Cricetulus griseus: one gene and its partner. The protein of the gene in region 1 interacts with the protein of each later gene in a biochemical or structural test. Links are inferred from orthologs where the notes say so. Each region holds a gene or a part of one and is shown on either strand. Other genes may lie near its edges.

Region 1 (4,036 bases):
ACAGAGAGGCATTGCAAGCAGAAGAAGCCACAGACAGCACAAGCAGAGAAGGGCGGCAATACAGTGGTGGGTAAAGGCCAGGCAGAGCCGGGAAAGCTTGGGGCTACTTTTTGATGACAGATTCTGAAGGAAGAGGTGGTCATGAAACTTGGGAACCAAGCATCCTGCCTATGGATCCAGGTACACTTATGGGCACAGTCTGTAAGAGATGGGATTGGGAGCTTGGTCCTGGGGGAATCTGCCAGGCTTCCACTGGAGATGGTAGATGAGGCCCATCAGATCCAGGCTCGAAAGGCCTGTTCGAGCAGTTTCTTGCCAGCAGGAGTGTAGGGAGACATTGTAGCCTTGCCTCCTAGGAGCTAGGTACAGGTGTGCTTGACTACGCCTGCCAGGGCGTGGTCAGGGGAGGTTCAGGATGACTCGTGGGGAGTTCTTAAGGGGGTGGCAGACACGTGGGAGTCCCTCTCTCTGGCCTCCCTAGCTTGCTGCCTCTGGGCACACTCTGGCTTGCGTTTGGCTGGTGCTTATCTGAATAAAGGTATCTTAACCTTACAGCTCGACATCAATCTCACAATACAGGAGTGTAGAGAATTATAGAGAGCCGTGATGGCCGGCCAACCTTCCAACATTCTGTTCCCACAACCAACCCCAGGCACTGTGCTTTGCGTTGACATCTGGGTCAACCCCAAACTCTGGCCTCAGGTCATGCCTCTCTCTGATAGGATGCCACTTCTAGTTAGAACCACACGTGTTGCTAGAGTGGGAACAGCCGACAAAGTTGGATGGGCAAGAACCCTGAAGATGGCTCACTCATAGACAGACACAGCCTGGGCACGAAGTAGACAACAGGTGGCAACAGGGCCACCTACATCTACAAGCTTATCACCTCACTCATTGGGAATAGTATCAATATCTGGCACAGATCCCAGGATACCCGGATGCTGGAGGGATGGTGAAGAGAGCCCTGCCTCCTGTCTTCATGGTTGCTGACCAGGCTACAGGCTCTCTCTATGTCCAGAATACTCAGACATCCAGAGATGTGGTCAGAGCCTTCAGCCTTCCACACATACCTTGGGGGGGGGCACAGGCCCAAAGTTAGAGTCCTTGGGGGAACTCAAAGAATAGTCATTGCTTGCCTCAACAAGACCAGATGAAGAAAGAAGCCCCATCCTTGTCATTGGCCCTAGAGACCAGTGCTCCAAAGTGGAAAGGCTGGATCCTTGTCTCCATAGCATGATGGAGGTGACATTTCCACAGGTTCCCCACTGGCATCAATACCTTCCTCTAGGTTACTACAGATCTAGGCATCCACAATCCTGCTCAGATTCTTAGAGGACTTTTGCTCTCCAGTTCCCGGGGCCTGAGCTGTAAAGGGAGGTCCTGGGTTTTTGTCTAGTGTTCCTGCCTGGTACAATAGGTATACTGAGGAAGACAGTCCAGAGCTACCATCCGTCTGACAAGCAGGCTTCCACTACTGCTATTCCTGGGGAGGGTGTCTGCAACTTGGGCATCTAACCTTCTGCCTCAGTTGGATCTGAGCACGTTGGTTACCAGTGACGCCCGTCCAGGCCTCAAAGCCTTCCATGTCCTCTGTGCAAGGCATGGGCACAATCTAGTCACTGAACCGAGACTAGGGTGACCTGGAAACCTGGACAGCGGAGCCAAGCACTACAAGGGAAGTTCCAAAGTTCCATCTCTAGCTTGGGGGAGGGCAGTCAGAGCCGATAAAGGTGGGGGCCCTGCCTGGTGTGAGCCCTGTGGAGCCTAGGGGTGTGGTGTTACTTGTTAAGTGTCATCTAAGTCAAAGTGATGTCCCTCAGACTGGAGGAGTCATGGGAAGCTGAGGTCTCATGGGGCACCGGCATGATCCTGTCCACTGGGGTTCACAACTTGACAGAAGTGCCCATTGAGGCCTTGTGGCATCAGTACACTCACCGTGCTCCACAGCACACTCCCCTGGGCACAGAACGTGGGGGCACGCTCGCCCTGAGGACCAGTTCTGACCGAAGCCTCTCTTTGCTCACACGAGTCCACCTGCTTCCCCGGAACCAACAGTAGGAACCTAGGCTCTACTCACCGTCTGGTTATCCTCATAGAGCTTCAGGTCATAGCCACTGAGCTCCACACAGAAGATGATGGCCGTGACGCCTTCAAAGCAGTGGATCCATTTTTTGCGCTCTGACCTCTGCCCGCCCACGTCCACCATCTTGAAGGTAAGCTCCTTGAAGGTGAACTTGTTTTCCACAATGCCCGTGGTCATGTCCCGGGAGCGTAGGATGTCCTCCACCGTGGGGATGTAGTCAGGTGCGGCGATGCGCTCCAGGTCATTCAGGTAGTAGGCTGCATTGTCCTCCAGGTGGTACTCACTCGAGCGGCCAAAGCAGGCCTGAGCCCCAGGGTCGGCCCACAGTCGTCTCATGACGCCCAGCAGCTCGGGTGTAATCTCACCCTTGCTCTCTGCTGGGCCCGTCAGCGCAAAGAGCTGCACGGCATCATAGGCGCGGTCCGGGTTGTGGAAATCGATCTTAAGGGCCGCGAGGGCCCGAATGATGCGGGTCAGCGAGTCGATGGCGTTGTAGATGATGAGGGGCTTGTACTCCTTGCAGGCATCCAGGTTAAAACCGCCACTGTGGATGATCTTCATCTGCTTGACGATGGTGCTCTTGCCCGAGTTGCTGGTGCCCAGCAGGAGAAGTTTGATCTCGCGGCGCTGCCGCTGGCTTTCTGAGCGCAGGTGGCGGTCAATTCTTCGGGACCGCCGTGCTGCCTCTTTCTCCTCTGAGCTTTGCCGACATCCCATGGTCCGGCAGCAGGAGGCCCACCCCCTCCCCGAAACAGAGCACAGGATGGGTGCCTCTCCCCCTTTTGCCAACAGACAGAACGGTCACCGTGAGGGATGCTGAGGTGTGGGCTGGCGTGACACAGGCAGCCGAGAGAAGACAGCTGACTGGGGCGTGCTCAGCACTGGCTTGGGGGCAAGGCCCAGGCAGCAGCGTCACACTGCAATCCCTGCCCTAGCACCTCTTCTCCTGTGGGCATGGTGCTCAGTGCAGTGGGGCAGAGACCACACCCTCCCCTCTAGTGACACTCCACCTCCCTTGTCAGCGGTGTGGCCTGATTTGCCGTAGTCATTCCCCGTAGTAGCTGTCCGCTTGCGTCTGCCTAGGCAGTGTCTGCCCAGGCCACTGCTGTCTGGTTGCTGGTTGCTGTGGCGATGCTTCTAAGCACGGCTGGAGGGCCCAGCGCTTCCCGAGGCCCCCCTGCCTCAGGCTGCTCCGGCTCCCTGCCTCGCATCCGGCCCTTCACCTAACGAGAAAGAGAACAGCATGAGCTACCTCCTGGGCCCACCTCAGGCTGGACGGGGAAAGGGATCAGCCACAGGGCCTCAGCAAACAGCAGAACAGTTTGTCAAACACTTCAGGGTCAGTGCCCAACCCACAGCAAAACAAATATGCGTGGCCAATGCCTTCCACTTGGCCGATCTGCTTGACGCCAGGTGCAGGATGGGCAGGAGGGAGCTGTGCAAAGCTCTTGTCTGCTGCCCCCATGCTGGATTCTCTTCTGCCACTCCTTCTTGCCTAGTGGACCTGGCTGACCTTGTGCCCTCTGAGTCTGTATGTCTGACTGGAGCTCGTCGGTATGACCCCCGCCGTGGGTGCCCACCACTCCAGGACATGGAGGGAACTCAGCCCCACTCTGCTTTACAGTGTAGTCCTGGCGGTGTCCCTGCCTGAAGGAAGCCAGGGAAAACTGGGTGTCTTCCCAACTTTCATCCCTTTGGACACAGGGCCATCTTTGTTGTAGGGCCAGATGCACAGAGTGTGTATAGTCTGTCAGGACAGAGCTCTGTCCCCTCCCCCCCCCCACTCCCCGCCCAGTCCCTTCCAGGGGGACTTAGCAGACGGGAGTACCATAGGGTCCTGAGTAAGCAATAGCGAGGCACAGGTTTCGAAGCATGGCCAAGGCCTGCAAATCAGGGTAATATGGTGATAATCTGTCTAGAGAGGCAGGAGGGGATGGGGGTATTCTCAGAAAA
Region 2 (4,048 bases), on another chromosome or scaffold:
TGCCTATAGTTCTTTACTTAGGGTTGAAGTATTATGGGCTTTTCTCTGTCCAGTTTAGCATGTAAGTTGGTATCAACCTTGTTCAGCTCAGATGTTGGTGAGATTTTATGGATGTACCTTCTAATATTACTAAGAGACATAATCTCACAATGAATTCCTTGGTCTTCTGGCTCTTACAATCTTTCTGCCCCTTCTTCCACAATGTTCCATGAGCCTTAGGTGCAGGAGTGTATTGTAGCTGTATTACTGGGACTGGGATCCACAACTCTGCACTTTGATTGGTTGTGCTTTTCTGAACTAGTCTCCAGCTAGTGCAAAGAGTAGTTTCCCTGATGGCGAGTGAAAACTACACTTACCTGTGGGTGTTTAAGGACAAAGGTTTATAGATTGCTGTTAGGGTTTATGCTGGTTTAGTAAGTTAGTAGTTGTAGATTCTCCTCCAACATCCATGACTTCACTTGCACTGAGCAGTTGGCTAGATTTCAGTACTAGGCATGGTATCCTTCTTGTCGAGTGGGTCTTAAGTACAATTATAGAGTTGTTGGTTACTACCAAGGTATGTGTATCATTACTTCACCTATAGGGTTATTGTGATATGCTAGTTATTGATATGGTTCATAGGTGGCATAGCTGGGTAGGACTGTTGTTGGTTCCCTCCTTTGGTACCATGAAAAGTAGTCCTTAGGGAGGGGGCATTCAGATCACTTCCAGCTCAGGAGTCTCTGGTCCCTGTTTCTGAATTGCATGGTGTCTTCAGAAATAGGGCCTTACCTTCCTCCACTGGGGGGTAGTGGCAACCAAGGGCAACAACAATAAGCTGTGTGTTTTGGGAGTCTCTTAGACATTTCTGGCCAACAACTTAAAAGAGGACTTCTTATGTCTAATATTGGGGTTTTTGTTAGATGGTCTTTGGCTGTTGGAGGGAGTACCATCATCCCAGATAAGACAATTTTATTATAACTATATATGCAGATATACACTGAATTCTCTGCATTATAGGTTTTGGTGAGATTTTTGTTTGCTTTTGTAAATAGTTAATAGTCTGATTCCTTGTGGCTTTTCAGGCATTCTTTTTTGTCTACTAATTTTTTTTTGTTTTGAGACTACACTTTAATCTTCACTCTAATAAAAAGAATAAATCTGTAATAAGTTCCAAAGACTTGGGAATACTGAGACATACTGATATTGGCAATTACATATTTTAGAATATTAGTTATATAAAACTCCATAAGCCATATTTATTTCAGCACCTAATTATTTGTCATTGATGGTGGCATCTGATATTAGCACACATTTAAAATTGTGATTTTTGTCTATTAATATTGTATAGCTGTGTTTTTTCATTTTAGCCATTCTGCTAGGTATATAGTATTTTTTTTTGTCCCACTGTGGTTTTAATTTGCTGTTGTCTGTAGTTGATGCTGGTGGAAGTCTTTCTATGTATTATTTATCTGTCATCTTCAGTTGCTATTTGACTTCATGACTTATCTCTATATTCTAGTTAGATGATGACCAGCTAGTCAAATAAACCCTTGTGCTTAGTTGACAATGATGATGATGATGATGATGATAGGAGTGGCAGAAATTTATACCTCTCACCTGCATCAGAAAAGTAAAATTATTTCTACAGAAAAAGGCTCACAATACATTTATTTTTCTTTTCTTTTCATCTTTCTTCTGTTTGTGCTAACTAGTTAAAATAACATCAGGGGAAAGATCTAGAGAATTAAGTGCAGAGCTTGACACATAATGATCAGGATATAAACCATGACTGACAGACAGCTACTGAGTTTTCCAGTGCTACCTCACGTATTTGGACAGGTTTTCTGTGGCCTGGTTTTGTACCATTTATTCCTGAGCTCTGTCAATTATTTCTTCAACATTGACACATGCCCATTCCTCTCCATACGGGTAACCCTTAAGAGATACCTCTATAAATAGTTAAGAGGATTTGCAGTCTTACACTGTACATTATGCAGAGAAACATCCAACACTGAATAGGAGAACTATCACTCTAGAAAGTAAAATGGCCAAATGGCAGAAACTCACACTTCAGGAAATTCACTTTAGGAATTTAAAAAACAGCAACTCTTAGTTCTTTAGCATTCAGATCCCTATAGAAATTTATCATTATTCTGTAGCAATGTTTTTAGAAAGAAACCTATATTTTTCTTTCACAATTATCTGGCATATTGTATTTACGTCAGAGAAAAATATGCAAGAGCTAATAGCAATAGCTTTACAAGCTAAATATAGGCTTTCTGCTTTTAAACACTATTTCCTAAAAGCAAACCAACAGCCAAAGCTGCAGCTATGTGTCTCAGTGGTTGAGCCCCTGCTTGGCATGCCCGAGGCCATGGCTTCAGTCTCAAGCATAAACACACAAAACCATTAAACAGAACAAACTTAACGAAAAAGCAAGGGCGAAGGAAAGCTGTTTGGGATGGAGAAAACTGGACACCAGATGATTTTCAAGTTTTAGGTTTCCTGTAGATTGTTTCAAAAATAGTCTTGATAAATCTTCACTAATCTACTGTGAAGAACGATACTGAAACTGGCTGCTGGTTTTATATTCTTTATGGATTAACCTTTTCCCTGCCAACATTGGTGGGGATTGTGAAGGTCATCTTACCTTGACACCAGTCCCAGCCTGAGAGTCCCCTTTATTTTCTGTGACTTGATGAATACTGAGATTATAATCTTCCTCTGCTCTGAACAGAGGCAGCAACTGTGCCCATGTAGCCTGCCTGGGAAGATGCTCCTGGAGGTACTCTTGGTTTTCTTGGGAAAGGCTGGGCATATTTTCCCAGTAAATGCTGCATGTGGATCTTGTCATCTGGTTTTACCAACACTAGTGGATCCCCTCTGTTCTTCTGTTTGCTAATGCTGGGCCATGTCTGAATATGCTGGGTTGCTTCCTGCAGAGTTACACTAAGCAAAGCAAAAGGCTGATCCGTCCTGTGGATCAGTAGTGGCTTATCCACTTATCTTAGCTTTTTATTCCAGGTAGAACTGCTCACCGGGTGCATATGTCACTACTGCCCTCTATAGGTGAGTAAGTAAGTTTTCTTTATAAGCCACTGGGCTGAACAAAAGGCAAGGGAATGTGTTGTAAATGCCATCTGAAGGGACCTGTGAGGAGGCCCCCCATCTGCTCACGGTACTCTTCTGATTTTTGCCTCATGCCTTTGTGCCTTTCTGAAACTAAAGCCTCCATGAAATCAATGCTGCTGCTGCTCAGTGATTGTGTTGGTACAGGGAGGAACCTCAATACAGAGACATGCCATAAAGTGAAACTTGGATACATCTGCAAGTGGCTCAAGTATAGAAAGTAGAAAAAGTTTTTTTTTTTTAAATTTACTGTTTTTAATTATGAGTGTGTATGTTTGTTTGCATGTGGGTGTGCACCTCTGTTTGTACCCATTGTGGCCATAGACATCTGATCCTCCCAGAGTGGGAGGTATTGGTGGTTGTGAGCCATTGGATGTGTGTGCTGGGCATTGCACTTGCATCCTCTGGAAGAGCAGCAAACACTCTTAACTATTAAGCCATCTCTCTAGCCCCAAGCCATACATTTTCAGGAACATTTTCAGCCTATAGTTGATTAAAACCATGGCTACAGAGCCCATGGCTGTCCTGGAACTTGATCTGGGGAACAGGGTAGCCTCAAACTCACAGAGATCCACCTTCCTCTGCCTCCAGAGTGCTGGGATTAAAGGCATGTGCCACCAATGCCCAGCAAATATACATGCGTTTTGTGTTTGTTCATGACGCATGTCTTTTGGGATTACAGACCATAGTGCCTTTTAGTCTTTTATTGATAGTGAAATGTACATAAGCAGTTAGCTTGTTGGCATTCAAGTACTTTCTTCTCTCTGTTCACTAAAGGTTAATTTGAGTAGGTGGCATCATTTTGTTTTTATTAATGGATTTTATAGACACCATGAGAAATTATGAAAAGTCTTTGATGTTCTTTGTGTAACACACACAATAGAACTTTCCTTTTTTTCGGAACAGGAAAACCTCGGATCTGTAAGCTCCGAGAACT

Evidence for each region. The genes of interacting proteins can lie anywhere in the genome.
Region 2: the proteins of Gnaz (region 1) and Rgs20 form a complex in vitro, tested with the Homo sapiens proteins (2 studies listed by BioGRID, with this or other methods). The link is inferred for Cricetulus griseus from reciprocal best matches to the Homo sapiens genes GNAZ and RGS20.

What each region holds. Positions count from the first base shown.
Region 1 is NW_023276806.1:263,551,303-263,555,338, forward strand, and holds the start of Gnaz (guanine nucleotide-binding protein G(z) subunit alpha), read right to left. Parts: upstream 2,801-4,036; coding exon 2,078-2,800; intron 1-2,077. UniProt on the Homo sapiens protein: Guanine nucleotide-binding proteins (G proteins) are involved as modulators or transducers in various transmembrane signaling systems.
Region 2 is NC_048595.1:158,268,641-158,272,688, forward strand, and holds the start of Rgs20 (regulator of G-protein signaling 20), read right to left. Parts: upstream 2,801-4,048; coding exon 2,641-2,800; coding exon of another isoform or gene 2,633-2,640; intron 1-2,632. UniProt on the Homo sapiens protein: Inhibits signal transduction by increasing the GTPase activity of G protein alpha subunits thereby driving them into their inactive GDP-bound form.